Linked DNA regions of Xenopus tropicalis. Each later gene encodes a partner of the first gene's protein in a complex. Links are inferred from orthologs where the notes say so. Each region holds a gene or a part of one and is shown on either strand. Other genes may lie near its edges. The genes, in order: atp8b1 and tmem30b.

Evidence for each region.
Region 2: the proteins of atp8b1 (region 1) and tmem30b are in contact, whole or in part, in a cryo-EM structure (PDB 7VGH), measured with the Homo sapiens proteins. The link is inferred for Xenopus tropicalis from reciprocal best matches to the Homo sapiens genes ATP8B1 and TMEM30B. Residues at the interface, in NP_001361314.1 of Homo sapiens: Trp362, Val366, Ser369, Ser370, Trp371, Tyr372, Leu373, Tyr374, Asp375, Gly376, Phe418, Trp421, Asp422, Leu423, Tyr426, Asp431, Pro433, His939, Trp942, Arg946, Tyr968, Phe971, Asn972, Gly973, Ser975, Ala976, Gln977, Leu1003, Gln1005, Phe1049; in NP_001017970.1 of Homo sapiens: Gly9, Ala10, His11, Gln12, Pro13, Asn15, Phe18, Thr19, Gln20, Gln21, Arg22, Leu23, Pro24, Ala25, Trp26, Gln27, Pro28, Leu30, Ser31, Ala32, Ala35, Leu38, Phe39, Phe46, Leu49, Leu53, Tyr109, Tyr111, Asn116, Phe117.

Annotation. Positions count from the first base shown.
Region 1 is NC_030677.2:201,978,816-201,995,131, forward strand, and holds the start of atp8b1 (phospholipid-transporting ATPase IC), read left to right. Parts: upstream 1-6,209; 5' UTR 6,210-6,473; intron 6,474-16,316. UniProt on the Homo sapiens protein: Catalytic component of a P4-ATPase flippase complex which catalyzes the hydrolysis of ATP coupled to the transport of phospholipids, in particular phosphatidylcholines (PC), from the outer to the inner leaflet of the plasma membrane.
Region 2 is NC_030678.2:89,246,962-89,262,982, reverse strand, and holds the start of tmem30b (cell cycle control protein 50B), read left to right. Parts: upstream 1-7,259; 5' UTR 7,260-7,262; coding exon 7,263-7,472; intron 7,473-8,718; coding exon 8,719-8,823; intron 8,824-9,575; coding exon 9,576-9,683; intron 9,684-10,306; coding exon 10,307-10,397; intron 10,398-11,375; coding exon 11,376-11,519; intron 11,520-13,902; coding exon 13,903-14,106; intron 14,107-15,458; coding exon 15,459-15,658; 3' UTR 15,659-16,021. UniProt on the Homo sapiens protein: Accessory component of a P4-ATPase flippase complex which catalyzes the hydrolysis of ATP coupled to the transport of aminophospholipids from the outer to the inner leaflet of various membranes and ensures the maintenance of asymmetric distribution of phospholipids.

The DNA.
Region 1 (16,316 bases):
TGCGCACAGTTCTAAAACTTTGAAAAAATATGAATTTTAAGCATTCGGACACAATCGTACTTTAGTGAATAGGCCCCTTGGAGTCCAACCAGAAAACTGTTTTTCCATAATAAAAGAACATTCCAATATTTATGTCAATGGTCGGTTATTTGTAGGTGTAAGCAGTATCTCTATGCCTTTATATTCTGTGCAATGCTGGTTCTGACTCTTGAAATGTAGCAGAAGCCAGCTGATTAACCAACCTCCATGAGAACTACATTCTGCTGCATTGCTTCAAGAGTCATAACCATAGAAAACGAAGGGATAAATACTGCTTTTAATTGTAATTATATTTAGAAATATTTTTTTAAAAGAACTTGGAAACATCTTTTACTCGAGTATACTCGAGTATAAGCCGAACCGAATATAAGCCGAGGTACCTAAGAAAACTGGAAAAACGTATTGACTCGAGTATTAGCCTAGGGTGGGAAATGCAGCAGCTACTGCTAAGTTTTAATAATCAAAATAAATACCAATAAAATTACATTATATGAGGCATCAGTGGGGCATATGTTTCTAAATAAACACTAAACACTAAACTAGCTCTGTAAGTGGAGAAGAAGGTCAACAAAAACAATATGGTATCAACAATGATACCTTAAGAGTACTACTCCCTTAGCTCAATCAGCAACCAAGCTAAAACACAAAGAGTTAAAATCCTTCAAAACTATGGTTTATATAGAATATAAAGTGCAATGTCTAGTGCAGAATGGGACAGGTGAGGATGGGAGATGAATTTGGGAGTGGGACAGGGCACTGGAGGGTCTGGTTGCGGGTGGCCTAATTTGCACACAAAGGACAGAGGGTGCTAGTCTGGAGAGACCCATGGCACCCGACTCGAGTATAAGCCGAGGGTGACTTTTTCAGCACATTTTGGGTGCTGAAAAACTAGGCTTATATTCGAGTATATACAGTATATTGGAAAGTTGCTTAGAATTCATTGCATTTTCTTTCATTTTGCACAAAACTGTTTTAGGAGTGGCGCAACATAGAAGGGCCAGGCCACCTGTCCAGCACATACAAGCTGAATTAAAGGACCACCAAAAAAATGAAAGAGCTTTAAAGTAATAAAAATATAATGCACTGTTGCCCTGCAATGGTAAAACGGGGGTGTTTGTTACAGTAACACTACTATAATTTATATAATAAGCTGCTGTGTAGCCACGGGGGCAGCCATTCAAGCTGGAAAAAAGGAGAAAAGGCACAGGTTACATAGCAGATAACAGATAAGCTCTGTAGAATACAATAGTGTTTTATTTGTTATCTGCTATGTGCCTGTGCCTTTTCTCCTTTGAATGGCTGCCCCCATGGCTACATAGCAGCTTATTTATATAAATTATAGTAGACTTTCTGAAGTAAACACACAACTTTTACCAGTGCAGGGCAGCAGCACATTATATTTTAGTTACTTTTATACACTTTCATTTTTTGGTGTTACTGTTCCTTTAAAGCAGCATAAGGGGCTTAGGAGGGGGGCTAGCATATAGCAGAGCCTGTGGTCTGGGTCCCTGCAGTACCTATAGGGTCTGCTGTATGGTAGTTGCATCACAGTAGTTGTATTTAGGGTGGGGATACTGCACATTTAATTAAGCGGTGGGTCACCTTTAGGTTAACGTTGAGTATGTTATATAATGTCCTATTCTCAGCAACTTTTCAATTGTTCTTCATTTTTTATTTTTCATAGTTTTTGAATTATTTGCCTTCCTTTTCTGACCCTTTCCAACTTTCAAATGTGGGTCACAGACCCCGGCAGCCAAAAGCTATTCGTCTGTAAGGGTAAAATTTTATTGTTATTATTTAGTACTTATATTTAGGCCCCCCCTCTAATCATATTCCTGTCTCTCTTTCAAAACACTGCCTGGTTACTAGGTTAAAGTGAATGCTAGCAACCAGATAGCTGCTGAAATTCCAAACTGGGGAGCTGCTGAGCAAAAAGCTAATTCAAAAATTTAAAAAATGAAGACCAATTGCAAACTGTCTCAAAATAGAACTGCATCATACTAAAAGTTAACCGCGTTAATCAAATGTCAAAATTAAAATTTACAAAAATGATTCCCTCTTTTGATGTAATTATAAAACAGTGCCATGTACTTCATCCTTATTGGAGGCAAAATAATCCTATTGGGTTTATTTACTGTTTAAATACATTTTTTAATAGACTTAAGGTATGGGCATCTACATTACATAAAGATCCATTATCTAGAAAACCCCAGTTCCTGAGCACTCTGGATCAGTGCTGTCCAACTTCTGCGGTGCCGAGGGCCGGAATTTCTCTAACATACATGGTGGAGGGCCGCTAATGGAAGCCAGTTTTGACCACTCCCCTTTTTCAAACCACACCCACTTCAAACCACACCTATTTTATCACAATTGTGGTAGCACAGCAAAATCCCAAATGCTTGGTCCTTACTGTGGGGATATCAACCATCATTCATATGTGAAAGAATTATGTCATATTAAGATATACCCTTAAATTCCATATGCCTCCTCCTCCCCTGTGGATAGCAGAGCAACCCCCAGTACATAATTACACACCTTTGGGACCATTTAATGGCTATTTCCAACTGCTAACAAACTCCCACAACAAACTCCTGCCACGTTCACCTCCCACAAGCAGCATAGGGCAAGCAGAGTATGGCACACACAGGCAGCACTCTGCCTGTCCTATGCTGTCTGTGTGTGCCATACTCTGCCTGTCCTAACCTGCCTGTGTGTGCCATACTCTGCCTTCCCTATGCTGCCTCTGTGTGCCATACTCTGCCTGCCCTACCCTGCCTGTGTGTGCCATACTCTGCCTGCCCTAACCTGACTGTGTGTGCCATACTCTGCCTGCCCTACCCTTCCTGTGTGTGCCATACTCTGCCTGCCCTACCCTGACTGTGCGTGCCATACTCTGCCTGCCCTACCCTGACTGTGTGTGCCATACTCTGCCTTCCCTATGCTGCCTCTGTGTGCCATACTCTGCCTGCCCTACCCTGCCTGTGTGTGCCATACTCTGCCTGCCCTACCCTGCCTGTGTGTGCCATACTCTGCCTGCCCTACCCTGCCTGTGTGTGCCATACTCTGCCTGCCCTACCCTGCCTGTGTGTGCCATACCCTCCCTGACCTATGCTGCCTGTATGTGCCATACTCTACCTGCCCTATGCTGGCTGTATGTGCCATACTCTGCCTACAGTACCTATGTCTGAGGTGTGAAGAAGTGAACAATGTGGGTGATTACAGCCTGAGGTGTGAACACTGCATGGGGTGAACAATGCAGAAACTAAAAGGTGTGAAAAATACAGGGGATTACATTTTTAAACAATACAGGGGGATTACAGCCTGAATCTGAGGTGAGAACCATGCAGGGGGCCAGTTAATCTCAGTACTGATACCATTTAATGCTTACTCAAAGGTAAGCCATCAAAGCAGCCATACAGGTGGGGGGCCACACAGAGGGGGGTCGCGGGCCGCCAGTTGGACAGCACTGCTCTGGATAATATGTCCCATACCTGAATAAAAACAGAATACTGCACTAGTGAGAGCAATATGCAAGAACAGAATTAACAGCAATCAGCAATCATTTCATTTTAATGATATATCACTGTTTTACCATTAGAAATGCCAATGGCATCCCACGCTGTAGTGATTTTAGGTTCCGTGTCCTACAGACCAATGGCACAGATGTCCCTCTGCCCCCTCACATGTGCATCAGCCAAGGTGCTTTCCAATAAATAATATGACAAGCAGGGGTAGCCGGACATGGCAGTCCCAATGCCCAGTGTGCCATAGGCTTTCCTTGCCAAGCTGAGGCGCTAGAAAGAAAAGCAAGGGGAAACAATGAAACTCTCACTACAAAAATACACAGGGCAGGACGACCTGAGCTTTTTATTCCGTATGTGACTCAGTAGATCCCCAGGCATTTTTCCTTTTTTTTTTGCAAGGTATTAACAAATTTCCTCATGAGGGTTGACGGACATTTTTGCATCACTAAAGTGCTCCACCCACATTATTCATTTTGCTGCTCGTCCCTTCAATCATTATGTTACATCACGTGGGACTGTTTATATCACACGTGTACACTACAGCTCCCTAGGGCAACAGCGTGGGGGTACTAGGCATGTACCTCTCCTGTCTGCCTACTCCTAGTCGGGGCCCTCCAGTCCTGTGTGCCATCCCCTTGCTGCCTGCTCCCCATTCTCCACTACCCGCTTGTCATTTCCCCCTCCCCAGGTGTAACCATACACATGAGAGCTCACTTGAGGCGGGGGCGAGGTGGCCCCCACTAGTTTGCCTAGGGTGCTGTCCCATTGACTTGAATGGTGAAGAAATCCTGCCCAGCAGGTCCATGGAAAAGATTTAATTGGTGGGCCCCCACTGCCCCTCGAGCACATAAACTTCAGTATAACAAGGCAGGCAGTATAGAAATGGTGTGCGCTTACTGGAGCAGACATGATCCCTAGGTGGAGTAAATAAATGAGAAAATAGGGGGCACCGTAAAAAAAAGCAGAGAAATTAAAATAACCATGCTGTAGCACTTACACTGAGGGGTCTGCCATGTCTGCTGGTGGGCCTCCTGTCCTGCTCTGGGCAAATCCCCATTTATCACAATGGCTCTGAGTCAGGAAGTGCCAAGTGTCAATAGCAACAGTAGCCATTGCTACGGCTATGAAAAGCACCACATAAAATAAGGATCATGTCTTTGATATTTATTCTTTTATTTATTTAATATGATTTGTGCCTCCCCCGGTGCATCCTGCTACTCTGACCCCAGACCCCTTAGGGCTGATTCACTAAAGGTCGTTAAAACGAGCGCTAAAATGTTATTATTAAAAATGTTATCGCGTCTAATTTTTCGTGTCTTAACGCACGATTCACTAAAAGCATACTTGCGTTAATTTCGACGCGATGCTGTTTGCGTTATTTTAGTCGTGAAGACTATTTTCGTGCGGTATTTGATGGAACGAGCGCTAATCAACGCACCGCGTACAAATATTTGCCGCGTGCGAAAACACGCACGCCATGTTAGTCATAGATGCCATTACTTTCGGAAAATTACTGTACTGAAAATGCCCATTTCCCTGCAAACTGGCGGCTGCATCACTCTGGGGCCAACACAGACTGAATAAATCCCACTGCAAAGTCCGTATTGTGTTGCCAAAAGCTCAGGAACTGTACTTTTCTATAATTACCGACTGCCCCAAGTAGGGGTTAATTTTTGCAAAGACTAATGCGATATTTAGCGCGTCTAAGTGTTTGTGAATCATGCATTAGTATTATTTTGGCGCGTACATTAACGCATGCGGTAATACTGTAGCGAATCGCGCATTAATTTTTGCGTCTATTTTAACACAAAAAAGCGTGCAATAAAACTTATCGACCTTTAGTGAATCAGCCCTCTTGTATTAGTGGTAAATATAAAGTTAGTTCATAAAGGGGATCTTGGGCCAGGGCAGTCAGGGGCGGTGGGATTGTAAACCCCAGGAGGGCAGAATGGGGACCATAGCTCAAAAGGGAGCAGACATCATGGGTCCTTACCCTAAATATATGCACGTATGCATACAGTGGGAGCTGCCATATTGCTCAAGTGCATTCTTCAACAAAACTAAAGCAATATATTTTTTGACCACAAGGAGTGCTGTTGTATTTACAATGAATGGTGAATGCATCTGCAGATGAAACAAACTTCCCACTTTACAGAGAGGGACAGCACTGTGTAGCAGGAGATTTAAGCTGACAATTAGCTACTATCTCCATTGTTTTTCATGGGGGGATAGAATGACTAAACTCTGTAAATAAATAAGGCACATTTTCCCTTTACACTGAATAGCAGGGCATTGGCTGTCCCTGTATCTAATCATGTGACTCCTGCATCCAACCAGTTGCCTTATATACGTGTGCTGCCCTGCAGGCAGGTGAGATTTACCCTTTAATTTGTTTGCCTGAAGTTCCTATTTGTCTCTCTTGTTCTTTATTTGCCTGAGCAGTTCTGTAACCTGAGCAGGTTCCTATAGCAGAGACAGGAGGGAGGGCTGATGGTGGCCCCTGGCTGAGGAGGTGATGGAGAGGGGAGGGTCTTACAGGACCCCAGCACTCACCTACAGGCCTTGCCCTTACCTGAGGTCACATGACCCCACACCCTGGCCCTCCCTGACTGCAGCCAGTTCATGCCTCATTTCCTCCCAGGGCTCAGAAGGGAGAACACACAGTGTGAGTGTTAATGTGTCTCAGCTCTGGGAGAACAACAGGCTGCCTGAAAGTTGACAAACTTGTTTGTTAGGTGTGACAACCCAGCGAGGGAGGAAGCCATTGGTGTGCATGGATTAGGTGTACAGAAACAGCTCTGCCATTGTCTCCTATGGAAGAAAATCAGGGGCCCCACTAGCTGGGTCCCAGAAAAGAAGGAGGAAGAAGAGGTAGTGGGGGAGGTACGACCGGCTCCTATCCCCTCTCAGGTAAGAACAGTTGTTTGTCTGTGGTTTTCCCCCAGTCTCAGAGCTGGAATGTAGGCAGCTCCCCTGGGCTCAGTGCTACTCATACTACCAACAGCCCCACTGTGCTTTGTGAAACCTACCCCTATCCCTAGGCTTACCCCTAGCCTAATTCCTATTCTTACCCCTATCCCTATCTCTACCCCTACCCCTAGCCTAATTCCTATTCTTACCCCTACCCCTAGCCCTATTCTTACCCCTAGCCTAATTCCTATTCTTACCCCTGTCCCTATCCCTACCCTAATTCCTATTCTTACCCTATTCTTAACTAGAAGTTAGGCAGGTTATATATAGGCATTAAGGTTGAACGTGATGGACGTATGTCTTTTTTCAACCCAACTTACTATGTTACCCCTATCCCTAGGCTTACCCCTAGCCTAATTCCTATTCTTACCCCTACACCTTTCACTATCCTTACCCCTACCCTTACCCCTGGCCTTACCCCTACCCCTATCCATATCCCTATCCCTGGCCCTATCCCTGGCCTTACCCCTACCCCTATCCCTAGTCTTACCCCTATCCCTAGTCTTACCCCTATCCCTAGTCTTACCCCTATCCCTAGTCTTACCCCTATCCCTAGTCTTACCCCTATCCCTAGTCTTACCCCTATCCCTAGTCTTACCCCTATCCCTAGTCTTACCCCTATCCCTAGTCTTACCCCTATCCCTAGTCTTACCCCTATCCCTAGTCTTACCCTATCCCTATCCCTAGTCTTACCCCTATCCCTATCCCTAGTCTTACCCCTATCCCTATCCCTAGTCTTACCCCTATCCCTATCCCTAGTCTTACCCCTATCCCTATCCCTAGTCTTACCCCTATCCCTATCCCTAGTCTTACCCCTATCCCTATCCCTAGTCTTACCCCTATCCCTATCCCTAGTCTTACCCCTATCCTATCCCTAGTCTTACCCCTATCCCTATCCCTAGTCTTACCCCTATCCCTATCCCTAGTCTTACCCCTATCCCTATCCCTAGTCTTACCCCTATCCCTATCCCTAGTCTTACCCCTATCCCTATCCCTAGTCTTACCCCTATCCCTATCCCTAGTCTTACCCCTATCCCTATCCCTAGTCTTACCCCTATCCCTATCCCTAGTCTTACCCCTATCCCTAACCTTACCCTTAGCCCTATCCCTAACCTTACCCTTAGCCCTACTCTTACCTCGATCCCTAGCCTTATTCCTATTCCTGTCCCTACCCTTATCTTTACCCCTATCATACACCTATCCCATCCTTACCATTCTCCCATCCCATCCTTACTTCCTCTCCTTATCCTTACCCCTATTCCTATACAAACCCATGCCCTTATCCTTACTCCTATACTTATCCTTACCTTTACCCCTATCCTTACCCCAATTCCTATACCAAACCCTACACCTATCCTTATCCCTCACACCTGCCTCTATTGCCTGCATAAGGGGACCTGCAAAAGCAATGCACTTCCCAGGTTGTACTAACAAGGCACTTTTAACCCTTTGTTTCCACCCAGTTTAAAAATCCACTGTACAGAACTACCCTTTTGTTCTATTCATTTACATGTGTGTTGGGGGGGGGTGAAATAATTCTAATTGTGGTAATTAATATTAACATGTACTGCTGACAAGGGCTCAGTTGATGGCATTCCAGACTACTAGCAGCTAGGATGTGGGAGTTGTAGTTTAACCCAAGACCTGTGGGGAAGCAGTTTGAAATAAACTCAAGGTTCAAATTTCGGGTTCAGTCAAAACAAAGTTTTGTTGTCAGTGACCAAAAAGTTCATTTTAGAAACCAAAAAGTTGACTTCAATCAATTGCCCTCATGTTTATGACTTTGCCCAAACCAGAACAAGAAAACGCAGAAATGTTCTGCTCCGTGTGAGAGAGACATGAAATTAAACAACATCATTGGGGCCAAATCCAAATATTCTTCCCCTGTTTGTGGCATTTTCAACATTCCCCATTGTGTCTGCTTAGGATTTTTACCCATTAATAGTTAATTATGTTAGATAATTAAGACTGGTTACCTATCCAAGCGCAGAGTGTAGGTACAATGGCATTTGTTTTGCTGGGCGAGCTAATAACATGGTGGTTAAAACTTTATTTTTATCATTATGAGGTATAAATTTTGTGGTCAATTTAAGGTGAGAATGTATCACAAATTTGACTGTTGTCATTCAGCTGTTGTTGAATTATAACCCCCAGTAAGCACCGCAGAAGGCTGTATATTACTGTAAATAGTATAACAACAACAATACAAGTATCACAGATTTGACAATGCAGAAGTTAAATGTTACATATATATTGTTATAGTATATACTATTCACAGAGGCTATTATCCCACTGCTACTATAGGCACCATCTCTCCCTACTATACCTGCTATCCCACAGCCCCAGTCCCTTCCCAGAGGCTATTATCCCACTGCTACTATAGGCACCATCTCTCCCTACTATACCTGCTATCCCACAGCCACAGTCCCTTCCCAGAGGCTATTATCCCACTGCTACTATAGGCACCATCTCTCCCTACTATACCTGCTATCCCACAGCCCCAGTCCCTTCCCAGAGGCTATTATCCACCCACTGCTACTATAGGCACCATCTCTCCCTACTATACCTGCTATCCCACAGCCCCAGTCCCTTCCCAGAGGCTATTATCCCCCCACTGCTACTATAGGCACCATCTCTCCCTACTATACCTGCTATCCCACAGCCCCAGTCCCTTCCCAGAGGCTATTATCCCCCCACTGCTACTATAGGCACTATCTCTCCCTACTATACCTGCTATCCCACAGCCCCAGTCCCCTCCCAGAGGCTATTATCCCCCCACTGCTACTATAGGCACCATCTCTCCCTACTATACCTGCTATCCCACAGCCCCAGTCCCTTCCCAGAGGCTATTATCCCCCCACTGCTACTATAGGTACCATCTCTCCCTACTATACCTGCTATCCCACAGCCCCAGTCCCTTCCCAGAGGCTATTATCCCACTGCTACTATAGGCACCATCTCTCCCTACTATACCTGCTATCCCACAGCCCCAGTCCCTTCCCAGAGGCTATTATCCCACTGCTACTATAGGCACCATCTCTCCCTACTATACCTGCTATCCCACAGCCACAGTCCCTTCCCAGAGACTGAATGCTAATCTTGCTTCATTGATAAGAATAATCAAAGAAGAAAATGGTAAGGGACAGACAGACAGACAGACACTGACACATAGCAGTTACATTAATCAAAAACTGTTTTAATCAGTGTATCCTGGAATGTTTATTTAAATTAATTAATAAGTTATTTAGCTATGCCAAAAACACACAAACCTTTGGGTGGGTGTCCCATGTAACCAAACTCAGAAGCCACTGTGCAAAACTGAATGTAGGCTCACACCACACCCTCCCATGTTTTAAAAGGATAAATCTGTTTGTAACACAAATAATGTGATGCAATGTCTGAAAACTTTTATATAGTGTGTGGCCCAACAGACCCAGTGTCTCGACTTGTTTACCATTTTTTGGCATAATGCCGTACACTTGATTTTCAGGCTCTGCTAGGACTTACTTTATTGGCCATATAGTGGAGATGGAGAAGCTACATTGTTTTAGTAGTCAGAACCAGCAGTGCAGAGAACAGAATGTGAAGGTGTGAATGAGAACACATTATAAATATGCCTTCCCTGCTGGGAAACAGAACATGCTCTCATTAATGATCCCGCCGCCCCTGTGGAAAGGAGAAATGAATGAATATCTTAATGACTTCTGTGCCATTGGGCAGCTGGCCCTGCGAGAGTACAGATTAAAACTGTAATGTAAAAGTGAATTTTGCTAATTGAAGGCTTGGTTGTGTCTGAAATCTATATATTTCCATGAGCCACACATACAGTAATGCCTGTATATAATGCCAGGTCAGTCGGTGGATTGGAGAACATGATTGGCTCATTTCTGAGTTATGCCATGCAGACATGGGGGGGATCACGCCTGTGCTGTGTGGGAGGTGCAGTTCAAGGTGTCAGGGCTGGGCTTCCTGATTGGCTGCTTGTGACTTGTAACATGTATGTAATAAAAGGCACTAAGTTTGCCCAGGAGCAGTAACCCATAAGATATTTGCTTTAAACTGGTGACCAGTAGATGCTACCTGCTCGTTGGTTGGTATGGGATACTGCTTTAATTTAGAGATGCACCGAATCCACTATTTTAGGATTCGGCCAAACCCTGAATCCTTTGTGAAAGATTTGGCTAAATATTGAACTGAATCTGAATCCTAACTTGCTTATGCCAATTGGGGTAAGGGAGGGATAAAGAGAAAATGTTTCAACTTCCATGTGACAAAAAGTCAATTTGGTTTGGCCAGGCATGTGGATTTGAGCAAATCTGAATCCTGCTGAAAAAGGCTGAATCTTGGCCGAATCCAAACTGTTCATCCCTTCTTTTTATTACATACACTAACCCCATAAATATCACAGGAAATACTGTGTTTTCTTTTCTTATACCCAAAATGTAGTGCTTTCCCAGGATTCCAGCATCATTGCGGGCAGGTAGCGAATAAAGCAACTTACACATGATGTACAAATGGAATTGTTGAGTAAAGCTTTTTGCTTCGGCAAATCGAGCACATTTTGCTTCACAAGTTTTAGATTGCGTAGCCTACTAGCCGCAGGGCACAAAGAGCTGATGCGGTCTACGATCTAACTAAATTTTTTAACCTACCCAATCGATATCTGCCCGATTTCAGGCCAGATATCGGTTGGGCAGGCCCGTCATTGCTGCCCCTACACGGGCCGATAAGCTGCCGAATCAGTCTAAGGGACCAATATCAGCAGCTACAATTGGCCCGTGTATGGGGCTTTTGGATAACGACTGCAGTTCTGTGGCTCCTCGCGGCACATCCCATTGATCTGACTCCCCTTTGAAACTGGGATATGTGAAATCCCAATCCTAACTGGCTATTCATTGAGATGTTACACTGTTTTTTAATAAATGTGAAAAATGTGTTGATTGAATATTAATAGGCTAATAGTTAACACCTGGTTAACTATATATTCAGCTTCTTATGTAACATGGGGAGCAATGTCACTGTATTTAACCCTTTCCCTGCTGATGGTCCGCTCTGCTCTGTACAGGCATGGGGGTGTTGAGGAGCAAACAGAGGCTTAAGCTGCTACTGGCTGGTATTTGGGACGAGGTGAGAGAGGCCGTTATACATAACTAGCAACATAACTACATAATACGCTCTGCTCTGTACATCGGGAAGTGCTAAAATCTGTTTGCAGGGAGGCATGGGCTGTGTTTATACTGATAACATTATCCAAATTCGACTCGACCAATCCTGCTGCACGCATTTGTCACCCAGTTCTACTGTGTAATGTGTAATATGTCCCAGTGCGACCTGTTTGTGTTGGATTAGTGACCCCAGCGGCACCAGTAGTCGGTTCATATGTGTATACAGTATATACAATGTGTATATATAGTGTATACATTTCATGCATTCAGTGCTCATTTTCTATATGTGGTGTATAGCTGGAAAACTCTGCGGTGAGTTGTTGGACATATTTCATAATCTGGAAAACTAAAGGAACAGTAACATTTAAAACTGAAAGTGATTAAATAGACGCCTGTTGATTTAACCCTTTAGGCGCTGTCCATAGCGAGTTTGCCCTGCCCTGTAGAGCTTACAATCTAAGTGGATGGGTAACATACAGGCATAAATAGGAGGGCAAAGTGCACAAAGGTTTGGCAGCCAAGACTGGACCAAATAATGTTCTAGGTGGGATCTAAGTTTGTTTTTGAAGAGGTGGAGAGAGTGTTCCCTACAGAGGAATTTAGTGATATTCAGAGTGAAAGAGAGAGAGGGCTCTGACAGGAGCGGATGTGTCCTGGAATGTACCGGGAAACAAGTGAAGAAATGTATTGAGCAACCCACTCACCCACCCGACTGCCCACTCGCGTCCCCCACTCCCTGTTTGTTCTCAGTTTTTTTGGTGTTATTGGTGCTTTTTAGTACCTGGAAATTGCAACCATTCATAGTGACTCTAAATTTTGATTGGCCTGGTATGAAAATCCTATAGGCCAATGATACATTAAAATAGGCAGTGGCTGTTAAAATTCCAGCCAAGTTGGTATTCTAGGTGTGTGGATAAACTGGCGACTGGATCCTGGCCATCAGCTGTAGAGTTTGTATTTACTGGGTAGGACCCATGAGATTTCCCCAGCTAATGGCTGTCAGGGGATGCTGCGAGAACAGCTAAAGGGCAGCAAGGTGTGAATCTTACAGTGTATGGCCACCATTTGTGGCCCATGTTGAGGTGGCCATACACATTCAATCATTTGGCAAGGTCCCCACCTTGGGTGCGCGATATCGTGCTAATGCAATCATTTGGTCCTAGAGCCAAAGGATCGCATTACAATGCAGGAGATATGAAAAGTCATAGCGAGGACTGCATCAATAAGCCTCAACAGAAAAATCAAGCCTGCCCAATTGACATCTGCCTGATTTTTGGCCAGATATCGGTCAGTGAAGCCTGTTGGAGGGCTCCGTACACAGGCAGATAAGCTGCTAAAACAGTCTAAAGGACCAAAATTGGCTGTTGAAATCTGCCAGTGTATGGCCACCTTAACTGAGATGAAGCATAGCTCTTTATAGTAAGCAAAATAAAATGCGAAGCCAAATAATAAACGTAGCTGATGTAGTTGTATCAAGAACGCTATAACCAGGAAAGGCGGCACAATGGCAGATAAAGGCGTGGCAAGGGCGGTCGGAATGCTTTGTTGATACTCCCTTCTATTTACTTGCTAATTGGGTCTTTTGTCACTGAATAGGCTGTGACACTGCTTGGTCATGTTGTAAATTGTACTTCCTTGGAAATCAATACAAACAGGAGTTGCTATCTACATAAAGATACCATAAAATACATCATTTTAGATCAGTGATCCCCAACCAGTGTTTCGTGAGCAACATGTTTCTGGCTTGGAAGCAAGTTTTGGTTGCATAAAACCCAGTGTAAAGCCAAACTATAGGCTACCAGTAGAGATGTAGCGAACTAATTCGCGCGAACATCAAGTGTTCGCGTTCGCGCAAATTCGCGGACTTTTGCCGATGTTCGCCACTTTGGGTTTGCCGCGTTTTTTTTTGGCGCCGCGTTTTTTCGCCTTGGTTTTTCCGCCGCGTTTTTTCGCTTCGTTTTATCACCTATGCATATACATAGGAATAGCTTGCGGTTTTTTTGGCGTTATTTTTTGGCGTTTTTTTTTTGGCGTTTTTTTTACAAAGTATTTTTCAGAGAAGTTTTTGCCCTTGATCCCCCTCCTGCATGTCACTGTCCAGGTCGTGGCACCCTTTAAACAACTTTAAAATCAGTTTTCTGGCCAGAAATGGCTTTTCTAGGTTTTAAAGTTCGCCTTCCCATTGAAGTCTATGGGGTTCGCAAAGTTCGCGAATATTCGCGAGTTTTGGTGAAAGTCAACATTTTCGGTGATGTTCGCTACATCACTAGCTACCAGTCCACATAGGGGCTACCAAATAGCCAATTATAGCTCTTATTTGCACCCCCAGGAACTTTTTCCATGCTTGTGTTGCTCTCCAACGCTTTTTCCATTTGAATGTGGCTCACGAGTTTAAGAGGTTGGGGATCCCTGATATAGATCATTCCATAGGATACATGTCTATGCACAACAAAGTCACACAAGGCCTGAGATGATCCCATTGCAAGTTCTCTTACTGGCACAACCACACTGTCCCTCTAAGAAGCTGTTCAGAATTGTCTGTGGTCTGGTAGATAATCTTGTTAGAATGATGTGAATTTTGGCTTACGTGCCAAAAAGGAGTTTTTCTTGTAGTAAAAATGGTAATGGAAAGGGTCTGTTATTCTCTGTAGCTCTGCACAAACATGGCAAAGTGTTGTGCCACTCAGATGCTCCGCATAGCTAGGGAATGGCATGATGGGACACGTATGTGCAGGTTAGCCGGTTGAAAAGGAACATGTGCCGACAGTCCCAGCGGAAGTCAAGGAAAGGCTATGCTTTATGTATATTTTAGGTGCAGTAGTAACAGATGGGTCACATTCTTTTGTTCTGGCATTCTTTACATTCTGCTTCTTTCTCTTCCTGCCTATTTGGCTCTAGGCAGAGTGTTCTTAGTGACCCCTCCCCGCAGCCATAGGAGTGTCTGTTCTGACTTGTGACAAAAAGAGCTCCCCTTGACTCCAACATAGAGTGATACTGATGTGCTCAAGTTGTGCTGCAGTAGGAATGCGGCCATCATGCCAGGCTGGAGGGCAGTACAAGCATGTGATTGGTCGGAGTACTGATGTACCTCCAGTCCACTGGATCTTTACATCCTCATCCTCCCCAGCCTAACATGAAGGCTCAATACTCAGTGTAGTGACTAAAGTAGAAGGATATTGTCCGGTAACTGTAGGGGGGTGGGGTAGGGGAAGTGGAAGGGCTAAAATTAACATAATATGGGTATGTTAGACATAAAGTGTTGTACCACTTAAACAAAAATGCACCCAGCCAATATTTCACCAGTCTCGCCAGTAAAATACCAGCCAGGGCCGGGGCCCCGTTAGTTTGTGAAAACTTGTCCTCCGCCTTCAATCCACCCCCAGCCTGGCTCCTATCCCCTCTCCAAGCTCCATTTCTACCATGCCCTACTCACTATTTCTGCTTGAATGTTGTCTTCCAACATTATGACAATCGCCATTTACATCATAGACCTGCCCCCCCACCTTGATTTGTGAATCAGGGCATCTTTTAGAAGATAATTGCAACTGCATCCTGTAGCCATGGCGACAGCATATAGATTGCCCTCTGTGACATCATTTCAAAGTTGGATTCTATTCTTTTCCCTGTGTGTTGGTGTGTAGTATAGCGACCAACTGTGAGGAGGTGGGGCTTTAGCCAAATGAGATTGTTTGCTGATTAGTTAATTGCTTGGTGACTGTGATTCAGAAGTCTGGAGAAATGGAGAAAGTGTTGGGAAGCTTTTCTTTGCTTATTCAGCATTTCCATTGGGGAATGGAAGCAGATATTTTTACACATTTTTCCATGTAGCCTTACACTTTGGGGAAAGGAGGCACTTTGCATTGCAATCAACTTCCTTCCCCCCCACAGTCCATGTGATTATTGTAGAAACTGCACTAAAGCACTTTAGTATATTGTAGAATAACTCCTCTTCTTACCATCTTGCTAAAAGTTCAGTTAATGTGACCTACCCCTTTAAACAGTAGCAGGTAGGTTGAGTGTTAGACATACAATTAGCAGGTTAATGTATCTCTACATTGTGACGTCACTGTGTTTGCTTTTCAAAACACTTGTTTGAAAATGAAGGCCGGATTGAGCTCAGCAGGTGTCAGGTGATTCTCCGGTGCCTGATTGTTTGGCCGTGTCATTGTTTGTCCATAACAGGGTTTCCATATTAATAATGGATTTGAGAAAAGTAGAAGCAAAGCACAGGAACATATAGAGGAAAAAAATTAAATCTGCTGCCAAACAAAGTTGAAAGGGAGGGTTGAGTCAAAATGACTTTAAATGACTTGTGTACCCTATGGATATAATAACTGTACCCCCTGATGACTGCTTAGTAGTTACCCCTCATAAGTACAGTGTAACTAGTGTGCTCTCTTTAAGTCTATTATGTTTTCCTTGCCACGTTATTGTCATACTCCCTCCAATCCCAGCCCAATATGCTTCTTCACACCCACTAAAAACTCATATACAATTTTGCGGTCTCCTTTTTTGGGGGCTATCCTGCTTAAAAGAAGAAAATAAGGAGGTACAATAGACGTGCACGTGGCCCGTCCTATTGTTTTTATGCGAGTTCTCTGTGGTGTTTTGGCCTCTT
Region 2 (16,021 bases), on another chromosome or scaffold:
GGCCCACTAACACACATTATATTTGAGATAACTTTTAACAAAAGCATCCAGCAGAGAAGGCAGACCTCTCATTTTCATCAACTGGAAGAGCTCTACAGTATAAATATTTAAATTTTCTTCTGCATTTTTTCTTGTGGCATCGCCATTTAGTCATTTTTCTTCTCCTAGGGCTGTGTCTTCAACCTTAAAGGACAAGGAAAGGCTAAGTCACTTGGGGGTGCCAAAATGTTAGGCACCCCCAAGTGACTTAAATCGCTTACCTTGTACCCCGGGCTGGTGCCCCTGTTAGGAGAAAACAGCACCAGTCCGGGGTACCTGTTGCGAGCGCTTCCTTCTTCCCTATTCACGCTGCAGCCAATTGTCCGGGACAGACGCATGCACAGTAGAATGAAACGCCGACTTCTCTGTTAAAGTTCGGCTTTTCACTCTACTGCGCATGCGCACGCAGGCGATCAGGAAGAAGGAAGCGATCGCTGGCTGGTGCTGTTCTCTCCTAACACCAGCCTGGGGTAAAAGGTAAGCGATTAAAGTCACTTAGGGGTGCCTAACATTTTGGCACCCCCAAGTGACTTTGTCTTTCCTTCTCCTTTAAGCTGGCAACACACACACCAATAGTACCGATATTCGGTGTGTATGGCGGATCAACGAGATGACCGATAGCGTAAAAGCTTCGTATATCGGTTGTCTCGTTGATTGGATGGGTCAAAAGATTTTGATCGGGCACCGTTGAAGGCGCCCAAGCAAAATCTGCATTTAGGGCTAAATTGTCAGATAGGGGTAGAATACCTATTGTTTCTACCTCCGTATCTGATGATTCAGCCCTGAACGTCAATGGAGGGAATGAACATATGTGTATGGCCACCTTTATGGTGAAGACACACAGAGCTACTAGTAGCAGCTACTTGTTATGGCTACTAAGGGTGAAGACACACAGAGCTACTTAGTAGCAGCTACTTTTTCACTGCTACTAAACGCCAGAAATTAGTTCAGAATTGTCTATTTTAGTAGCCACGACAAGTAGCTGTTACTAGTAGCTCCATGCGTCTTCACCCTAAAAAAGACAATGCTGATCCTTTACTTACTGTATAATTGTCTCTACATGTGTTTTAGATGAGTTAATTCTCAGTACTGTATATGTTGAAACAATTGTTTAAAAAAAGACCATTTTAAGCTAGGAATGCTTGGTCCTGCAAATAATTGGATTCTCCAATCAGATTTATTATAAACTATGTAATTTCTGATATTGATTTTCTAGATGTGACTGTCTGTAAGGAGCAAAGTAGATTGCACACATCTATTCATGTTAAGGTTACAGACCTTTTGAATTCTCTACCGAAATCTTAAATGCCAAGTGTTTCTCAGAATCAGCCAAGCAAAAAATCAGAGGATCTAAGATTGATTTTTAGCAAGAGGGAGGGTACCTCCTAAAATGAAAATTTTGGGTGCAGAGATTGGATCATGTTCATGCTGAAATATGAGAGAATTAGAGACAATGAAAATGAGAGAATTAAAAAAAAATATATTATTTTATATAAGCTGTTACAGCCCTTGTAGCAGGTATGTCCACCAAAGCATTAGCCAATGATAATTACTGATGATATATTACACTTTTAAAAATGTAAAACCTACGATTAGTTATACATGAGGCAGAAATTTAAAGGAGGTAATAAGCCCCACTGATCCAGTTGATTAAAGGGCACCTATAATTATGAAATTGCTCCCCCTAACAGAGTAGTGGGATAATAGATCTCGCACTCCAGCTGGGAGAGACAATAGCTTTTAGATCAAATATATGTGCAGGCCATGATCCTTATAGAATCATAGAAGTTAAGCACAAAAAGCAAGATATTACCCAACAAGCTGTGGCCAAACAGTGGGTGAAAGCAAAACCCGGTCCTTCTGCATTCAGGTGCATGCGCATTGAACATGTATTCAGATGCATAAGAGTCGTATTTGATCAGAATTGCTTCTCAAGGGAAAGGCTCATTGGGTTCATGAATTATAGGGTTTAAAGACCTAAATGAGAATTTGGTACAGTTTTTTCTTGAGATAAACCCATTGGGGCTGAATCCCAAATGGGGAAAAAATCGGATTGGAAACGAACATTTTGCGACTTTTTCGTATTTTTTGCGTTTTTTTTCGTCGCCATCGCAACTTTTTCGTAGCCGTTACGACTTGCGCAAATTGTCACAACTTTTTCGTATTGAGCGCTAGTAAACAGCGGGCAAACCTTTCCAAGTTTGTCGCGACGGCTACGAAAAAGTCGCGACAATTCGCGCAAGTCGTAACGGCTACGAAAAAAAATCGCAAAATACCGATCATTACGAAAAAAATGCATTCGGACGCTTTCGATCCGTTTGTGGATTAGTAAATCGGCCCCATTGAGTAGCGATGTCAAGGCAGATATTGTGTGTATATAAAATGGAAAACTGGCGTTAAGCATTTCTTGTTTGTTTATTGTTCATTACCCACTTGGATCACACAGCAAGTATTTTTGAGAGTGTTAGTCTTTCAGGATTGTTTTCTCTTGCCAATCTTCTCCCAGTCTCCCAGCTGCACACGATATCACAGAATACTAAAGTAGGTCAGCACACCCCCAGCGTCTTCCCACCTTTCTCTGTCACATCCTGAATACCTAGTTCAGTAGGTTGACGGACCCAATATGCTGGAACTGCTGCCAGATTCACGTTCACACTCTGTAATGTTAAACATTGATTTTAGGGTTTTTTTTGTGATTTTAGCGATTTTATTGCATTTCATATTGTTCTTTGTTACTTGTCTTGCACATGGACATTTTGGTAAATCTATGCATATTGGGCATCAAACTGTTCAGTAGACCCCTGGCGTTCATGTTTAGGGTGCTTTATGTTGGTACGTTATGAAATGTGGGGTACATAATGGGGCAAAATGCAAGCTTTTCTATGACTTATTTGCATATGTATGAGGTGGTCTCCTCAACCCCTTTAGCTCATAAATGTTATAAAAACCATTCTGTTTAGCATAGCTTTGTAGTTTGGTAGTTTGCAGTAGAAAGATGTATTTACCCATTTTTGTTTTGTCAGAATGTGTACTTTCAGAAAATGTATGGTTTTCTAGGGTCTCCTTACTGTTAGGGGGTCTTATGGCACATAATACACATACCGGGTGCAAAAACTGCACGAGCCGGAGCGTAATTCGTGAAAATTCATATGCATTATTTTCATTTGGGTGCCCCTGTACTCCACATAGTTTGGTAAATCTATGCATATAGGGCATCAAACTGTTCAGTAGACCCCTGGTGTTCCTATTTGGGGTGATTTTCCTTTGTACGCAAGAAATTGTGTGAGATAAATGTGGCAAATTGCAACATTTTTAGTAGATTTTCTGAAATGTCATAGAAACCACTAACTTTAGGAAAGCTTTGCAGATTGGTACTTTGGTGTAGAAAGGACTTTTTACCCATGTTGGATTTGTCTGAACGTGTACTTTCCAAAAATATATGGTTTTCAGGGGTCACCCTACATTTCTGCAGTTTCTATCCCACATAAAATTGCCATGTGTTTATGAATTAGGTAAAGGTAAGCCATGAAATTAGCATAGCTTTGTAATTTGGTAGTTTGCAGTAGAAAGATGTATTTACCCATTTTTGTTTTGTCAGAATGTGTGCTTTCAGAAAATATATGGTTTTCTAGGGTCTCCTTACTGTTAGGGGGTCTTATGGCACATAATACACATACCGGGTGCAAAAACTGCATGAGCCGGAGTGTCATTCGTGAAAATTCATATGCACTATTTTCATTTGGGTGCCCCTGTACTCCGCATAGTTTGGTAAATCTATGCATATAAGGCATCAAACTGTTCAGTAGACCCCTAGCGTTAATATTTAGAGTGTTTTATGTTGATACATTAGAGATAAGATGCTGCAAAGTGGAAGCTTTGAGGGGATTTTTGGAATTGTCATCAAAATTGCTAACTTTAGAAATGCTTTGTGGCTTGGTACTTTGGAGTAGAAAGACACAGGTACCCATTTTAGATTTGGGGGAATGTGTACTTTCCAAAAATATATGGCTTTCTGGGGTGAGCGTACTTTTTTGTAGTGTTATCCCACACAAAAGGATGTAAATGTGTTGATATTGCAGAAGCTGGAATGACAGAAATGATAGATCATATGGGGGTATGTTCACATTGGGGCTCCTACATGCCACATACTTAGGTAAACCTATACACATTGGGCATCAAACTGTTCAGTGGACCCCTGGCATTCAAATTTAGGGTGTTTTATTTGGTTACTTTATGACCTGTAGGAGATAAGATACTATAGACAGGAAGCTTTGAAGCGATTTTTAAGAAATTTCACAAATTTTGATAAAAACAAATAACTTTAGGAAAGCATTGCAACTTGGTAGTTTGGAGCAGACAGACAGTTCTACCTATTCTGGATTCCACAGAATCTGTTCTTTCTAAAAATGTATAATTTTCTGGGATAAACCTTCTGTTAGTGGAATTTGTGACCTTGAAATCTAAAGTATGCAGCTTTCTGAAGCAGTGCTTTGGAAATTTGGTAGTGTACTGCTGGGAGTTTTTGACCTATACAAGTGAGAAATCTCCATAAAATTATATATATTTGGTATTGGCGCGTTCAGGAGACATGGGACTTTCCAAATCAGTTGTATTTTTGTGCATAAAATAATTTTTGTTTCTGGTATATGTGTTTATATTATGGAAAATATTTATTTATTTTTTCATTTTTTAGACATTTAGAAGCCTATATCTTGTTACAGAATTGGAATTACACAAAAATTCCACCATATTTTGAAAGCTTAGGTTGTCCTGAAAAACCGGATATATAGTTTTCCTGGGTAAACTAAAAGTCCCCCCTAGGAAAAGCCCCTAAATTGAAACAGTGTAAAATGTTCAAAAATTGTCTGGCAGTAGAAGTTCCATTTTGTTCAAAACGGCTGGCAGTGAAAGGGTTAAAGGAGAAGGAAAGTCATTTTGGCATTTTACTGCCAATAGATTTGTCACATTAGTGCCACAGCTTGGTCTTCATAGCTTCCTGTTGTATAGCTCTAGCCATTATAGCTGGGATCACACATTCCTAAGGGAGGGGGGAGGGAGGAGTTCTTAGTGTTTTTGAGGGAGGGGGTGAAGGAGAGGGGAGAGAGGAGAGAACTGTGCAGACTCTGACCCCAGGAATGAAGGATTTTTTTAGATACCCTAAGAACATATTTACAAAAAAGGAGACAAGAAATCCTGTGTTTCTTTTGATAGAGGACTTAGTGTAGCTTTTCTGTGAGTGCTTATGACTGTATTTACGTAGAGCTTTCTGATGGAACTCTATCCCTGAATCATTCCGTAGGGAACACTCATTTACTCTCTTTAAGATAAAACTCAGATGCTACCTTTTGGAGCACTAAAACATTATTTTGCCTAGTCCTGCGCTTAAGGGCAAATGCCCATACCTAGTGCACTCATACCTTCCAATTTGTGCCTGTATGTTACACAACCACTTACTGCAGACTGTAAGCTCTATGGGGCAGGGACCTCCTTCCTACTGTGTTCCATGCCACATGGCACTTATTTCCTGTGTATTTATACTTATTTATTGTATTTACTATAACACTTGTCCTCCCTGTGTGTAATTTTGTATATTGTAGGATTGGACAGCACTGCGTACCCTTGAGGTGCTTTATAAATAAAGTTATACATACATACATAAAGCTTACTTAGTTTTTACCTTTCCTTCTCCTTTAAGGTATTACTCAATGTTATAGAAAATGCCAAAGTGTCTTTTCCTTTTTATATTCCAAACAGATGTTCAGATGTTCTATGGGTTCAGGCTGTTAACAGATAGTTAATCCGAAAGCCTCCACCATTAAGTAGAAGTGCCTACTTACAAACCAATGTTTGGAGATGCTGCCTGTAGTCATTAAATTAAGCAGATCTCTCCTTTTCTTCAATATATAAATTGTATAACATTTTGCCTTGTAGGCATACTGCTACTGTATTTGAAACAAAATATGACCATGGACCTCAAATATAAACATGGGAATGGGACACTATTGGTGAGCAAGAAGCTGAAATTGCTCTTAATTGATGCTAATGATTATCATGAAGTCACCTGGGCATTTTTTTTTTACTTTTGTGGAAGTATTTAAGTATAAAATATTTACTTGCAAAATATCCTTTTGTAAAGGTTCCAGTAGGTACCGAAACATTGGAATGCACAGTGTTTGAAAATAAAGAGATTATTTGCACAAACTAATGGGGTATGGATCCTTGGGTGCATATTTAAAGGGGACATATTGTGTGCAAAACAAGAATGTGCCAGTGTAATATACTCCTCTAAATATAGAAGGAATGTTCTATACCCCATCTACTGTGCTTCTGGTAGGGACCGTTAGGACATGTCCACCCCTCATTTCAACAGAAACAGGGACTCGAAAGGATATAAAGGGAGCCCCATTAAGGGGCCATTTTTAAAGTTAATGGTCACCACCATATATTATTTATTATTGCATACAAGATTAGGGGTTTTTCATTCATTCTATACGTCTCTTAAAACTAATTGACCCAGCACCCCAATTGACTGATTGTGTGTGTATCTATATATATATATATATATATATATATATATATATATATATATATATATATATATATATATATATATATATATGTATAGAGAGGCAGGTGTCGGCACTCGCAGGGTTCTCACGATAAAGACTCATGGGCAACAAAGCTTTGTTGCCCATGAGTCTTTATCGTGAGAACCCTGCGAGTGCCGACACCTGCCTCTCTATTCTGTTTTTTCTGCTCTGGCACCCAGGTATCGCTCCTGAACGGTGGTGTGCTCTCCATTCTAGAAATGTATATATATGTGTATATATATATATATATGTGTATATATATATATATGTATATATATGTGTATATATATATATATATATATGTATATATATATATATATATATGTGTATATATATATATATATGTATATATGTATATGTATGGGTCTTTTGAGTTAGGTACTATATATGCATAGAATTAACTGTAGAGATTCTAGAAAGCGCTATCTTTAGGAATATTGTATGTTTATGATGCTCACCACCAGAGATGAAAGGAAACAGGTTAGAGATGAACAGTCATGTTAAATGACAGAACAAAATAATAAACAAAAATGTAAAGCTTGGGAAGAATGTAGAGAAATTGGTAAGGGACATTTCAAGGAACAGCAGGGGAAATAACTCTTGCCATTCTCATTTTTTTGCAACAGCTGGGAAATGAAATCCTCTTCCACAGACTTCACAATTAAGGAGCCTCTTCCATCACAGAGACCAGATAACACTGCATTTACTCAGCAGCGACTCCCAGCATGGCAACCACTACTCTCTGCTAGCATTGTTATTCCTTTCTTCTTTTTTGCTGGCTTATCTTTTATAGCAATTGGCTTAGGTTTATACTACTCCTCAAACAGCATTAAGGAAAGTGAGGTAAGGGTGATAGCATGTCAGCTAAAGCTGGCCATACGTTTCGTACAATTTTCAGCTATGTGTGGGCTCTCAATTCTCGTCCCGATGATTTTCGTACCATGGCGATCAGTCACTTAGTTAGAAAATTTTGGTTGGATAACGATATAAGCTGTGCATGTATTGTGTATCTCACGATATCCTTGGGGGACCTACAATGCATTACCAGGAAGTCACTTTTGTACGATTGGTGTCTGCCAACTATTTCATGTTCAGCACATGCTCCAATTTGTTATTGTTAGGGCTTTATCCTACAATTTCAGTCGGAATGTTTTAGATCGTTGCATTTAAATGTACGGTCCATATCTGAACATGTAGATGACTTAAATCAGTATGGCTATCTTAATAAAAAAAAAAAAAATAATCTCAAAGGTTTAATAAATATTGTCACTAGATATGAGGGCATACTTTCTTAACCCTCCAAATTACCAGTCCATATTCTTAAGGCACATGAAAAATACAAATACTGACTACTCCTTATATATATTATTTTTATATGTTAAATTAACATTTAACATCTGGACAACAAACATAATCTGGCAACTTTGTTACTGGTTTATTTATACATTTATTATTCCACACTATCATTAAAAGTAGTTTGCAATTGTGCATTTTAGCTGGATCCTCACAGGTGACTGGTGAGCTTGGACCTATTTCATGTTCAAAGCTCTCTGATGAGATTAGCAGACCTGCAAACTAATGTGACTAATTACATTAATTACATAAAGGGGCCGATTCACTAAAGGTCGATAAAATGAGCGCTATTTATAGCATGCGTTCTTACTTTTTGCACCTTAACGCTCGATTCACTAGAAGGACACGTGTCATAATTAAGAAGTGATGTTGTTTGTGTTATTAATTTGCGATGAGTTTTTTTGCGCTGCACGCAATATATTTTGCCGCGTTCAGAACTTCTGTTCTGAAAATGACCATTTCCCTGCAAACTGGAGGATACATCACTAGGGCCAACACAGACTTGAAAAAATCCCACTGCAAAGTCCATGTTGTCTTAACGCATACGAAATGACTTTGATGAATCTTAATAATCACATACTTTTTAACGCAAAAAAGCATGCGATAAGTGTTATCGACCTTTTGTGAATCGGCCCCAAAAACTGTTTGGGGAAATACTAGGAGGGGCACACCATCATTGCCTATAGAGTAGGATACTAGGCACTTCAGAATGAATCTTCTCTCATTTATTTTTAAGTTTGACTACACTGGTGCTGTGCTTGGAGACTACTGCTATAATTGCAGAAATGAATCAAGAGGTTGCACATGTAATGTCCCATTTAACATCACAGAATTCTTCCAGGTAAACCAAATACTCTTTGTTTCCAGAACTATATTTACATTTCTTTTTAAATAAATAATTTGTATATATTGTATAAATAAGGAAGCATATACTTTTGCCATAGCTAAGATGAAGTACTGTAAAGCTATAGGGTGAAAGGACAATTTTATGGCCATGTTTATAATATGATATAATATAATATGATAATGCATTGCTGCTCTATGGCTGTACATTCACCAAGTAATATTAGAACACACTACTGCTTGTAAAGAAGTTGAAAACAAGTCCAGGAAAAGCATATAGATATGTTACCCTTACTATTCAGATGGCACTGGATAGTGGAAAATATAGACAGGACTACATATACAAATTCATAATGAACTTCTGCTAACATGACAAACAATTAGTTAATAAAAAGAATTGCAAGTTGCCAAAAAAATATATATATTTGCATTTGTAAGTAGAGAAGAAAGTCTTCACAGGTAGCAGGCAAATATCTTCAACCCTAAATATCCTACCTAGCTCAAGATAACACACAGTAAGGCTAATGCCACATCCGGTATTTTCTACACAGGTGGAGAAAATGGCAATACAGTCTAAATCATCCCCATATTTGCATCTTATAAGCACCAGAGTGAATAGCTTTTAATTTAAGCACCAGGACAATTAAACATTTGTGATTTTGTTATGAGACATGGAAACATTGTGTATAGTACATTATTATGTATTTTTGAAATTAAAATGTATACTAAAAATCTCTTTTTTTCCTTAAGGGACCTGTTTGTATGTATTATGAGTTGTCTAATTACTACCAGAACCACTATCGTTATATGATCTCCGTAGATCCAAAGCAACTTGGTGGACTAATTGACAATCTAAAGGTATGTAAAGGAGTTCCTCTCATTGTAAAAATAAGACGGTTCCCTTATTTGGGAACTGGAAACCATATTAAACACCCATACCTTTCCTCTATTCTGTTGGCTCAAATGGATTTATGCAATAAAAAGCACTAAGTTTGCCCAGGAGCAGTAACCCATAGCAACCAATCAGCAAGCAGCATTTAGTGGTTGCCTGTTTCAAGGCAAATACCTTATTGGTTGCTATGGGTTACTACTCTGGGGCAACTTTAGCGCCATTTATTGCATATGGGGGTAAGAGCTTTCTAGTACCATTTGCAGGAGCACAACAACTTAATCCACAGATTCACTTAATGGAGTTCAATCACTTATCCTTCATTTAATGTACAAAGCATTTCCACAATGACTCAGAATTATAAACATTTTAACAGATTATATCAATTTTAGGAATTAGATTGGGGAAAACTTTGATGATTTATATTGATTAAATGTATCATCTGTATTCATTATACATGTAATATTATTATTAATAAATAATGAATGATAATATCAGATACATTCTTACTTTTAAGATTCTTTTGGTTAGAAAAAAATGAGCAAACTGATTTATTTCTATTTTTCTATTTTTTTTTTTTTTTGTCTTTCAGGCCCCCTCTAATTACTGTTCTCCATATCAGTGGGATTCAAAAAATTTGCCAATAGCTCCATGTGGTGCTGTTGCAAACAGCATGTTTAATGGTAATTTCATAAAATGGTTCTGTCACATTTTATTGGCTGTAAATGTATACCACAATTTTGTATTTTGTCTTGCGTTATTGACTGCAAAATTATTGGATAGGGTACACTCCATTTTAAACATTTGGAAGGGTTCTACTATATCCCTCTTTAATATGTTTATGAAATCATTATAAAGTTTGCAAAGAAAAAAAAATTAGCAAATGGTTGTTTTGTGCATGTTTTCCCTTAAACACTTACATTTTGCACTGCTGCGCCCATCTTTCCTTTTGTTGCGAACTGCAGTGAAATGTGAATCTTGCACAAAAATTGGCAAATGGGATTGCGATTTGTGTGTTTATTGTGCACAAATATAGCAATTTCACAATTTGCAAATATTTTTTCCACCACCAAAGTTGTGGTGTAACGTGGTTGCATTTAAAAAGCTTTTAAGGACATTCACACTGCGAATAAAAAATTTGCAATTAAATGCACCAGTCTTGTCCAGATTTATAAACGTAAACACAGGCAGGGCAAATATGTTCACTGAGCGAATTATTCTGCACTGCGTGAATTTTATAAATAACCCCCGTGTCTTTTTATTAACTTTGATTTGCCAGTAGGCACTGCCACTAAAGTGCCATACCGTGGCCTTATAACAAACACTGAAACGTTACTAAATCATATTTATAAATTACTTACAAATATAATTGCAACTGAAAGCAGTTGTGCCTTTTTCTATTGCACACTATGGCTCACTAGTACCTTATAGTGGCATTTTCTGGTGGCCTATTTTATAAGATGCTTTTGACAATTCAAATGTTATAGTGGTTTTAAAGATGGATTCATGATTTCATTGTTTTCTATTGATTCCAGAAGAATTTTCTCTTTTTTAGAAAATGGTACTGTCAAAAAAATATCTATCTATCTATCAATCATCTATCTACAAATATATAAATGTATTTATATATTTATGCATTATATTGTGTTTCTGTATTCTAGATGTCATTTCATTGCACTATAAGGACAATGGAACATATGTTGAAGTTCCACTGACAAGAAAAGGCATCTCATGGTGGTCTGATTATAATGTTAAATTCCAAAATCCTACAAACGGCAATGAAACCTTAGCTCAAGTCTTTAATGGTAAATCTGACATATTATTTCTTTAAAAAAAAACTATACTTTTACCACAATGGCCCTGTAATTTGATGAACATGTGATGTAAATGTTTTCTGCAGCAACTAATCATTCACTTTTTTTTAGGGATGCACCAAATTAAGATTCAGATTTGGCCAAATGCTAAGGGGCATATTTATTAAAATGTATAGTTTTTGGGGAAAAAACTTGCATAATTGTGATTAAAACTTTTCCTGAGATTGTCTATCTTATATATATTAAAATTCTGGAATGGGTTAACCTCAACTGTGTTTTGCTGCATGGCAACAAAGGCAATTAATGAAAAAAAAAACTTGATTTACAACTTTGCTTGAATGTTGAAAATAAACTTTTTATTGACTTTCCATGGCATCTCGGCAGGTTTTAGAAGGTAAAAAAAATGCATTTTTCTTTGGGGGAAAAAATTGATGATAACAAATAAAAATCAAATTTTACTAAACCAGCTTTTTTCGCCCGCGGCAACGGAGATTTGGCATGGCGCGACTAATCTCCCCGTGTGTCACGGCCCTTAAGCTTTAAATTGTATCTGTACTGAGATTAACTGGCATTGTTTACACCTCTGATTCAGGCTTTAAGCACAATTAAGACCCTGTATTGTTCACAACTCAGGCTCGAACATTGTAGGAAGCAGACCCTGCAGTTGCCCCCCCGCTAACACAGGGTCTGCTTGTCTCTAAGCCATGAATTTGAAAATAAGCATCTGCTTTGAGGCCACTGGGAGCAACATTCAAGTGGTTGGCGAGCAAGATGTTCCTTATGAGCCACTGGTTGTGGATCACTGCTCTAGATCAGTGCTGTCCAACTTCTGTGGTACCGAGGGCCGGAATTTTTCCGCCCTACGTGGTGGAGGGCCGATAATGGAAGCCAGTTTTGACCACTCCCCTTTTTGAAACCGCACCCACTTGAAACCAAACTCGTGTTATTACATGACCATACCTATATTAATGGTTGTAGTACAGCAAAAACCTGCCATACTCTGCCTTCCCTACCCTGCCTGTGTGTATGGCACACAGGCAGGGATTATTTGTGGGTTTCTACTGCTCCTACAGTCTGAGGTGTGAACAGGGGAACAATGTGGGTGATTACAGCCTGAGCCTGAGGTGTGAACACTGCAGGGGGGGAACAATGCAGAGATTAAAAGGTGTGAACAACACAGGGGATTACATATTTAAACAATACAGAGGGTTTACAGCCTGAATCTGAGGTGAGAACCATGCAGGGGGGGCAGTTAATCTCAGCACTGATACCATTTAAAGCTTACACAAGAGTAAGCCATCAAAGCAGCCAGACAGGTGGGGGGCCACACAGAAGGGGGGTCGCGGGCCGCCAGTCGGACAGCACTGCTCTAGATGTTAGCAGCAGTAATACAATTGTGGATATCTTAAACCTGTTTATGCCCTCTTAATTATAGAAGTATAAACTGATTTTATACCATAGGGCATATTTACATCTGCAAGTGCAGTTGCTGACCTGAAAATTCCCCAGTCAGTTGTGCATAAAAAAACACTGCCATTGAAGGTTCTTGTCTCAAAATGTGCTCCTTGTACTTCCTTATAGTTGCTCTTGGCCCAGCAGTCCTTACTTTCCCAGTTGAGTGCCACTGGGTCTGTTGATGCAGGAGAACAGGGTCAGACTGGGGGTGCTGTGCCCACCGGGGCTCCCGCCCCAGGGGCCCTGCAGGTGTCCCCTACCCTGCAGGGCCCCCTGAACGCATCAGGGGAGGAACAGTCAGTTGGGGGAGCGCCTGCAAAGGTCGGACTGGGCCGCTGGGGCCCACCGGGATTTTTCCCGGTGTCCCGGCGGCCCAGTCCGACCCTGCAGGAGAACCTGAAGCTACAAGCACCTCCTGACCAGATGGTAGCTCCAGGGTTCCCTTTGCACTCAGCCTCAATAAGTACAGCACACTTGAGCCCAAATAATTGACCGAAGCTGTCACTTGAACGCAAACACAGTAAAGGACCATAAAAGACCATATGGACTTCCACATAAATGTTTCCAATTTGCAACCAAATTTGCCTGCGGTTGCATAAATAATGCTAAAATGCTCACAAATATAGTAGGCGCAGCGCTATTCTGCCAAGAACATTGCCTCCTTGCAAGCACAATGAAGCTGCATGCTCACTCCACTTGTGGCTAGAAATGATCCCTCATGTCTTTTAAAATCTGCTATTAAACTGTTCCGTAACAGAATTCATCTAGCATTACTTTGGTTAGTAAATACCATAAATATGCAGAATACATATACAGCCTCTATAAAGAATGTTGATATCAGATATGTACAGTTTGTGAATGTACAAACATCGAACATTTTTATAAATACATTACACATTGTCATCTTCTATATCAACAGGTACAGCAAAGCCTTCAAACTGGCTAACTCCTGCATACAATCTTTCTGATGATCCGTCTAACACAGGGTTTATAAACGAAGATTTCATTGTTTGGATGCGAAGAGCAGCTTTGCCTTCTTTCCGGAAGTTATATCGTAGAATCGAGTCTGGGAATTTTACAACAGGTCTACCGCCTGGGGAATATCTGCTGAAAATTGTATACAGTATCCTTAAAAAAATGATTAAAAGCCCAGCATTATCAGCAAACCAACACACAGCAAAAGCTAAGCATCAGCTTTGCATTATTCTTTAATAATACTTTTCCTAAGACAAGATGCATAGACCTAACACTAAAAACCTTAAGGCTAATGCCAGACAAGGCGTAGAGCGTTTTTCCACTTGCCGAAAATTCCACCCTACGCCTCCTACTTGTGCCTGCACCCGAATGAATAGAATATGCTCGGGTGCAGGCACATGTAACAGAAATACCCATAAAAATGCGAGACTTTCAAACTCTCGCGATGTGTATATCGGCTACATGTGCCTGAACCCGAGCATATTCTATTCATTCAGGTGCAGGCACAAGTAGGAGGCGAAGGGCGGAATTTTCAGCAAGCAGTTTTCCACATTAGCCTAAGGGTGAAGACACAGAGTTACTAGTAGCAGCTACTTGTGATGGCTACAAAATAGACAATGCTGATCATTTACTGATAATTGTCTCTACATGTGTGTTAACAGAAGCAATTCTCAGTATTTTCTATGGCAGGGTATTTATTGCATTTTAGTAGCCATGACAAGTAGCTGCTACTAAGTAGCATATGAATATGCAGACATTTAGATTTACTGTATAGGATCTGTGACAGTGTGTTTAGAAAACACACCTGTCTTGTCTAAAAATGTACTGGAAAGTGCATTTGAGGTGCATAATATGGGCTGCAGGGGGATATCTAGTGCAGACAGAATTAATATACCCTCCCAGTAAGGTAATTATGTGGCAGCTGAGAGAGGATCTGCCTGTAGAGGTAAAAGGGGTGCACTCCCACACCTATGGGTCCTTCCTTGGACGTCTGGAGGAGACATGGCTCTTCCTTGCATGCCTGGAGGAGACAGGGCTCTTCCTTGGATGTCTGTAAGAGACTGGTCTGTCCTGTGTGTTCAAAGGAGAGACATGGTCCTGTTTGCAATTGGTGTGTGTTAAGATCTGTGTTGTTCGCCTAAGCTCCTCAATATAGAAATGTTTTACCTATCAAACCCCAAAGCAGGGTGGTGGTTTGCTCTTCACCGTAAGAACTTGCAAGCACTAGAAGTGGCATTTATTTTTTTTCCAAAGAACACCATCAATGGATGATGAATTATAGATAGTTTTTACAAACTTTAGGAAATGGACACCAAAGCTAGTACAGCATTAAGCAGTTTTGTTGATAGTTTGTATTTTAGACTATACCCTAACATTACAGCTACTCGCCTACTAATAAAGCTATCCACTGGCAGATGTTTAAATGTAGTGTTTGCTCTGCATCTTCTAACTTTCTCATGTGTTTGTTTGTGTTTGAGTCCTTAACAATACCTTTTCTAGATTATCCTGTACTAAGCTTTGATGGACGAAAAAAGATTGTGTTCAGTAGCCTCTCTTGGATGGGAGGAAAAAACCCATTCCTAGGCATTGCCTACCTTGTATTTGGTTCTTTGTGTACTTTGTTTGCAATTGTAATATTAATTATATTTCTGAAAACTTCACAAAAGGATGATGAGGACGAGGACAGCAATACATTATAGACTTAAAAATTAAGTTAATATTGCATCCTATGTTATTTCTTCTATTCATGAACAATCTAGACTCTATATCATACATTTCCAAGCCATTATTAAACTGTTAAGAATGTTTCCACATGCCAAAAACAAAGACTTTAAAACCAGAAAAATTTCAGGAGGACCGTTTCACTGCAAGGCAATACTTTTCAAAACATTGGTTGCTTTTTCAAAACTTTGATTATCTAGAAGTCATATCTATTTTGACGCACATTATTATAATATTCTTATTACTGTCTACAATCAAAGTTGTGATCCTTTTTAATTAGAATTACATTATTGCTATTTTTTAAATACATTTCTTTATTTAATCGTTATTTTGTACACTAG